2 linked regions of the Oreochromis niloticus genome follow. The protein of the gene in region 2 interacts with the protein of the main gene of each other region in a pairwise test. Links are inferred from orthologs where the notes say so. Each region holds a gene or a part of one and is shown on either strand. Other genes may lie near its edges. The genes, in order: ndor1 and tchp.

What was found.
Region 1: the proteins of tchp (region 2) and ndor1 interact in binary tests that used the Homo sapiens proteins (3 or more experiments, as listed by UniProt). The two-hybrid records come from large-scale screens. The link is inferred for Oreochromis niloticus from reciprocal best matches to the Homo sapiens genes TCHP and NDOR1.

What each region holds. Positions count from the first base shown.
Region 1 is NC_031972.2:34,629,703-34,633,626, forward strand, and holds the start of ndor1 (NADPH-dependent diflavin oxidoreductase 1), read right to left. Parts: upstream 2,938-3,924; 5' UTR 2,781-2,937; intron 1,773-2,780; exon of another isoform or gene 1,770-1,772; 5' UTR 1,768-1,769; coding exon 1,633-1,767; intron 1,443-1,632; coding exon 1,365-1,442; intron 778-1,364; coding exon 680-777; intron 586-679; coding exon 487-585; intron 410-486; coding exon 308-409; intron 228-307; coding exon 24-227; intron 1-23. UniProt on the Homo sapiens protein: NADPH-dependent reductase which is a central component of the cytosolic iron-sulfur (Fe-S) protein assembly (CIA) machinery.
Region 2 is NC_031977.2:18,102,769-18,106,692, forward strand, and holds the start of tchp (trichoplein keratin filament-binding protein), read left to right. Parts: upstream 1-1,355; 5' UTR 1,356-1,490; exon of another isoform or gene 1,491-1,557; intron 1,558-2,189; exon of another isoform or gene 2,190-2,336; intron 2,337-2,701; 5' UTR 2,702-2,705; coding exon 2,706-2,896; intron 2,897-3,924. Other genes in the region: gltpa (glycolipid transfer protein), read right to left, coding at 756-858. UniProt on the Homo sapiens protein: Tumor suppressor which has the ability to inhibit cell growth and be pro-apoptotic during cell stress. Inhibits cell growth in bladder and prostate cancer cells by a down-regulation of HSPB1 by inhibiting its phosphorylation.

The sequences.
Region 1 (3,924 bases), on a different chromosome or scaffold from region 2:
TTCAGGGGATCAGGGTTACGTACTCAATGTTGGACCCAGTGACGTCTAACTCAATGTGCCTGACGTCCTGGAAGTGCAACGGCTCCGTCACTCTCCTGTTGAACACCATTCTGGCAGGAAACGGGTGAGACTGGGAGGGGACAGTTTGATCCATGGGAATCCTCAGCCGGACCTCCTCCTTCTCTTGCATGTCGTCCAGGAAGTGGAACGTGTAGGTTGGAGGAAGTCTGTTGCAAACAAACACAGAACAAACCTATATATTAAATGTACGCCTTCTGAGAGAGGGACACGTGGAGCGGATACTCACGGCTCGTCTTCCCTCAGCGGGATCACGCCGGACAGAGTCGGGTAAAGGGTCGACACTTTCCCCCAAAACGAAGCAAACCAGGGGTCGATCACAGCGTCCGCTCTGCGTCAAACACACCGTCAGCTCAGTACACGAGCAACAAACTCTCCACCATCTTCATGTTTACACGTGTCTCTTACCCGAGGTCGTGCTGGTCATCAGCCAGCCCCACAGGCAGCAGCACGCAGGCACCGAGCTGCAGGAGGCGCTTATGGAGCTTCTTGGCCACAAAGTTGAACCTGTGGTGCACACAACATGCACACGCTTTAACAAAAACCAGATGAGTCACTGTAGACTAATGGTGAGAACAGCGAGCATAAACCCTGGACTGACTTTGGATACGAGGAGTCTCCCAGGCCCAGGATGGCGCAGTCGAGCCGACTCAGAGACCCGACAGGTAGAGACTTCTTAAAGAGGAACCGCCAGAAATTCTTAAAACAAAGAACACATGGATGTCTCAGACAGAGGTAAAGGTTTTCAAAATATAATTGGCTGTGCATGAAATATTTTATCCTTCTTCAGAAAAACCACGGAGGTTCTCACTGACCCTCAGAATTAGCTTCTTTGTTTAATATAACTTTACTACATTTAATGGAGCCATACAACACTTTACCTTCATATTCATAAGTCCAGGAGAAATCTACCTGTTATGTCCGACAATACTGATGCTACTGATAGTGTACAACAGTTTTAAAAAAGCTTTAATGTCTCTCTCACGTGAGAATGTGTTTCATGTGTTTCACGTGAATCTGATCTGATTCTAATATGAGGATTAGAATCTGATTCATTCTGAAGCTTTGGCCATGACTGACTGACTCAAAAACCTTATGGACAGACCTTAAAGATCCCTACATTTAGCAGGAAGAAGAGGGGAAACACTCTAAACTTTAAAAAAAGAAAACTCTTGTTTAATTTCAAACTGGAAAGACTGGAAGTAAAAAGATAATTGTGCTTAAAAATAATGACATTTCTTTTTTGGAAGGTCACCTTTCACTCTTCCAGTTTTCATTTTTCTTACCTTCATGTTGTCGGGAGGGTCTCCCTGACCAGTAGTGGAGCAAACAAAGACGACCAGAGACTCGGAGATCAAGTCGGCCTGTTTGATGGGAGGAAAAAGACACGCTGTGAGGTTGAGGAGGAGTACTCAGGAGCACCTCTGGGACTAAAGTTGGGTATAAACATGTGAAACACCAACTGTGACCCCACAGTTATTCCACATTTATCGAGTCACAGCTCTGAAAACTTTAACACTCCCCCTTACGTTTGAAAAACTTCGTCTCACTCACCACGTTGTAGTCGTCCAGCGGCATCACACGGACCCGCAGCCGCCGTCTCTGCGCCTGCCGGGCGAGCCTCTGTGCCGTGTCCTGAGCCGTCCCTGTCTGACTCCCGTACAGAATGAGCAGGGCGGGATTTGACATGACTGCTGACAGAAACACGAGAACAGAGACTCATCATGTTTTGGATACAAAAAAGCCTATGGGGCCTAAATTAAACATGGAGCAAAGAGTTCGATTCTCTCTGGTCCACTCAGGATGCAGTCCCACCACAGGAGTTAGACCCTGGTACACTCGCCCCTGGCTCATGTGACACAGCCACTTATTTTTCTCTTAACTGGCCCCAGATGGAGCCTCAGGTTCAGTTTTCCTTGGGTGACGCAGGCAGTGGTGAAGTTCCCAAATGTGACAGTTTAAGTTTAAGTTCACCGTCAAGGTTAATAACCCAGAGTTTAATGGACAGGAAGCTGCATTTGTTCAGCTGCCTGCTGTGTACATGTAAACAGATGAAGTTCTGAATAAATGTTTTGGTGAAACAAAGATGATGCTCGATTCTAGCGAAGAATAAAGTTTTATTCTATTCTATAATAGATACTAGACGAAAACCGTGCTCATAAAGAGAAGACTCGAAACAAAGAAACGTGAAGCGGAGCTCTGCTGTTAGTTTATAGTAAAAACAATCAATTAAACAATACAAACGACAACGTGACTTTAATTCTAATCATCTGACTTTCATCCTTATAAGCATGAGACTGTCTTTGCACATGTACACATGTCTGTGTGATGATACATGCTGACAAACAGGAAACGTTGGCTCTGAACACATTGATTAGCAATACTTTAATTTTTCACTCAGAAATATGTTCCGAGCATAAATCTCTTTGTTTGGGTCACAATAAACCATTTTCCGTGACCAGCAGGTATCTCGGTTACTTTTACAGTAGATATAATGAAATAAATAAAATATAACAATTAAACAGGTAAACTACCAGGCGTTCACCTTCACTCAGGACTACATAACTGAGCTGCTAGCTAACGTGCTAGAATACTAGTTAACCGACTGATAAAAATCTGATCCGTTATTTTACTTATTTTTTTTTTTTCGTCTATAAATCACATTTATGACCACAAGCAAGCAAACAAACAAATCGACTCACCGTCGCTGTCTTCGTCGACAATTACCTAGAAACTTATACAAATGAACCAAATAAACTAAGAAGCCGGGCCGTAACTGGTCATGCTGACCCTCAACGCCACACTTTACGGCAGGCACGCTGTGATTGGCTCACAGGTCGACGCTGCGTTCAGAGCCCCGGAGGAAAATCAGAAATAACAAAGTTTACGTAAAAATTCTTTCACTATCAACTTCTGCTGTTTATTCTTTATTATTTTCTTTTTTAAAAACATAATTCTTGATGAAGACATACTTTTCCTTTAAGTATTAATTAATAACAGCAACAGAGTGACTTATTTTTATTGATTTGTCTTAAATTTGAGCCTAAAACATCTGAAATAAGCATATTTTTTTATTGAATTTCCTGATTTATCCACTATGTAGCTTCATTATGTCTCATTTAAAAATTATATTAGCCTACAGTGCTTAATGTTGTCTTATGTCAAATATCAAAACATCTGCAGACAAACAGTGACTGCTCTGTGTTTGTCTCCACCTCGTGGTCAAGTAGATTTCCTGCAAACCTCATGCACTGGTTTAATAGAGCTGAGCTCACATTAAACTCACATCTGAGTTCACAGAAAGTGGCGACCACCTTCCTCCTGTGAGGTCTTATTCACCACGCTGCCTGTTTTGAGAAGGGTTCACTCAGAGATCTGAGGACATGAGCAGGATTAGAAAAGCCTTCTCTGGATCTGAATTAGTCTAGGATGCAAGGATTGCATATTAACAGTCCATAATCTGCAAACTCTGGTAAGAACCGAAGGTGCTTGAAGAACCATTCACAGAGTGAATTCTAACATTACTGTCATAACACTTAAAGCTACGCACATAAAGCTTCATCCACATCAGGGAATCACCTGACAGGCACAACACCACCACCAGCAGCAGCCTAGATACCAGAGTCAGGTACCGATCAACAGTTATTTCATATAATTTCACATTAAATTCAACCACAAACTATGAAATCTGAACCTCTACACCAGGGGTCCCCAATCTCAGTCCACGAGGGCCGGTGTCCCTGCAGGTTTTAGATCTCACCCTGGGTCAACACACCTGAATCACATGATTAGTTCATTACCAGGCCTCTGGAGAACTTCAAGACATGTTGAGGAGGTAATTTATCC
Region 2 (3,924 bases):
GCAAGAGAGTTTCAGACACCTGTGTGAATGTACTATGAGTGTGCGGGATGGTAATGGCCTGTAGGAAAGTTGGCTCAAAAATTTCTGGGTCAGGAAGAATAATGGTGACAAGGAGGAAAGAGCTTAATATCGACATCAGACTTGGTTCATCTCAAGGGTTTCACGTGGCAAATTCAATGGAGGGACTTTGGCATATTAATAGAGAATGAAGCCGCACAAAGATGCCCTGGCGCACCGCGGCACCGGTGAATGGGCAAGGGGAACTCAACACCGTACTAATCAATTTTCACAACTTAAAATCCAGGCCAGTGGAGTAAATTATGCATGCTAAAGGATTGTGGACAGGTTGGTGGAGAGAAACACGATCCAGAAAAGATTATCATTAGGAAGAGCAACATCGTTTTGTTAAACGAGATGGAAGTGTTGTGACAGATTTATCATCACTACAAGTTCAGTGTTTAATAATCAGACAAATTCCAAATAAAGATTCACCACAGTGGAAAAAAATGTCCATTGCATGGGTGGTAATTTTAACGTAAACTGCACATTTTTGTACCTACTGGACCAGTTTAACAGTCGTGGACGTATAAAGCATGATCAGTCAGTGGCATTAATCTGGAAGCCTGAGGTTAATCATAAAAACCACCACAACTATACATTTTCCCTGTTGTCATCTATTTTTTAAAATTCACCACTTCATTTGCAGTCCCATTAACGCAGTCTCCCCTGTGTCACACTGTGGAAACTCCACTTACCAAAGAATGGTGGAAGGTATGACACAGCTTCCAGAAACGGTCTTGTTTCCACCTGTCTGTCAGCTGGCAGCTGTCTGAACTGGTGCTCCATTAGCAGAGCCATCTCTTTAGTCCGGATACACTCCTAACTGTTGAAATGATAGCAACAGGCTGTCAGTCCTCCACTGCAGCTTCACAGTGATAGGAGGAGGAGAACACACACACACAGAGAGAGAGTGAGAGAGAGAGAGAGAGAGAGAGAGAGAAACATCTCTCTCTCTCTCACACACACACACACACACACACATACACAGAGTGAGCGAGAAAGAGAAACATCTTTCTCCCTCTCTCTCTCTCTCTCTCTCTCTCTCTCTCTCACACACACACACACACAGAAATATCTCTCTCACACACAGAGAAGCCTCTCCTTCTCTCTCTCTTACACACACACACACACACACACACACACACACACACACAGAAATATCTCTCTCACACACAGAGAAGCCTCTCCCTCTCTCTCTCTTACACACACACACACACACACACACACACACACACAGAAATATCTCTCTCACACACAGAGAAGCCTCTCCCTCTCTCTCTTACACACACACACACACACACACACACACACACACACACACACACACACACACACTCACATGGAAGTCACCTACACTGAACTCCTGGCTGCAGAGGAGCTCATGTGATCGACCTGTTAGTGATAGATCCGGGCCATCGCCACCTGCCGGGGTAAGAGGCCGGATAAACGGCACACTTCTGCCAGACAGAAGAAACAAGTCCAGAGTAAACAGCACCTGATGTGCTCCATCAGCTGACACTGGTCTTCCTCTGCGTTTAATCACATATGCTCCTTTGCTGCCAACTAACGGAGTCTGGTGGAATATCGCTCTTTGGTTCCACCTAATTTATCTGTTTATCTGTTTTGTATTATTTCGTTAGTTATAGTTATCCCAGCATTCGTGCAAGCATATAATAGCTATGTAATATCTTACTGTAAAAGACAGACAAAATAGTATCACACATGAACTTAACAGTTTTGGATTTTACTTAGTTTATTTCATTTTAGTAATTTTTAGTTTAAACATTTTGTGTTAAATGTAGTTTAGTTTACAGAGTAGGTTTGCTCGTTCTTATTGTTAATTATTAGTTTCATATAAGTTCTAATTAATATTAATATTATTAATATCAGTAGTAGTAATAGTAGTGGTAGTATCAGATAGATGTGTCGAAATTTCGACATATCTAACTGAAAATTTAAAGGAAAGTTACAACATTTCAACACACTGACCCAAGAGATAATCACATAAAATCATGACTTAATGACGACAAAGACAAAGAAAATTCAGTGGCGGAAACAAACTTCCAACTATGCCTTTCGCGTTTTCCGCCACAAACTAAATTTGACCTTCACTTCATCCCGTAGCGTGTGAGTAACTAGGAAGTGTATGTATCGGTAACTAAGGAAAGCTGTAGTATTGAAGTGAGTAAATTTAAGCTTTCTGTGCGTGAAAGCAAAACGTCGATTGTTTTTTTAATTAAAAGCCAAGGGGAGGCAAACCGAGGTACCACCGAGAGGTAAAGTGGCTGCTATCGTTGTAGCTAAACGCTCCTTTTATCCGAGTGCTGATGGGTAGTTAGAGCTGGTAGTCTTTTGTTCTTATTGTTTTCTTTATTCTTTACGGCCATGAAATTATAAATGTTTTATGGGTAGAGCACGTATAACAATGAAGATATTGAGCTGTCTTCGGCATCAATATTTGTTAAGTAACTAATTACTTTAAAAAGCAGTATCAGTGAATATATGATGGGGCTAAGAGACCTTTGACTTGTGATGTCTACATTCGTCCATATTGACTGGCTACATGCCCTAATGAAACTATGTCTGCACTGTTATTTTTAACAAATTTAATATCAAGCTTTCATTTGTGTTAACTGTTCAGGTTCATGGCTCTGCCGACACTTTCGACCCGTGTGCCCAGTCGATCTCGGGTCCTGGCCGACCAGCTGGCCCGGCAGCGGGAGCAGGAGGCCCGGTGGCGGCAGCAGTGGGAGCTGCATGCTCAGTACTTCAGAGAGCAGAGCATCCGCAGCCAGAAACAGACGGTGTGGAGCTCCCGTCAATCCTACCAGCAGAGGTAACTTCCTCCAGCATAGATGCTCTCACTCACACGGTCTCCGAAACGTTACACAAATATTGAAGCAATCCAACTAAATAACTACACATTGCTTTATATTTAGTGATTTTATTTTTGTTGCCTCCTTACATTTTCTTGTCATTAATTTTACATGATTGCCATAACGTACTCCAGCATTATCATCCTGTTTCTCCTTTATTGCCCTCAGAGATGGCTCTGTAAGTAATCACGTCATGTCATATATAAGTTCTGTGTTGTGAAAAAAGTGATAGTACTTGACACTACTCCCTACCTTTTTTATTATTCATTTAGGTAACACACAGAGTCTAATAGAAAGCATGAAGAGAGTATTTTTCCCATGAGGGGACACCATAGGTATGGCCAAGCACATTTTATGATTGGATCTGAATGGAATGCTAACCAGATAGTTACTATAATATTATATTATCTATATTGTCATCATGTATAAATGAAAGACTGGAGCCAGAACATAAGCAAGACAACTAAGGGATGATGACCAGAAAAAAAGGTCTTCTTATTACATCAGATGCAGTAGAATCACCTAAAAGCACATCCTTAAAAAATAGTTTTCAGAAGTGAATCAAAGATTTCGAGTAGCCTATGGCAAAACTAGGCTAACCTTTATGTTGAAGTCTCGATTTTACAACAGCCGGAATGGACTCATCTCAGTCTGGGAGCAGACTCACGGCCAGACCGCAACACTTTAAAGGTGATCAGGAAAATTTAAAATCTAAAACCTACAGGAATCCAATCTTGTGAAGCCAGGATCATCCTGGAAATACCATAAATACTGGAATTACAATAAATAAATGTTTTCATGAATTCCTTTGGATTATTAGAATATGCTGGTATGCTAAGAGAAGTAGTGTTCAGTTGTTTGTTGTACTGTGGGTATACCATAGTGTATCTTCCTTTAAATCTGTGTAACAATACATATATATGTATGTCATATTTGTTTGTCTGTATAAATTAGTTAAAAAAATAGATAAAGAGCTTTATGTTATTAT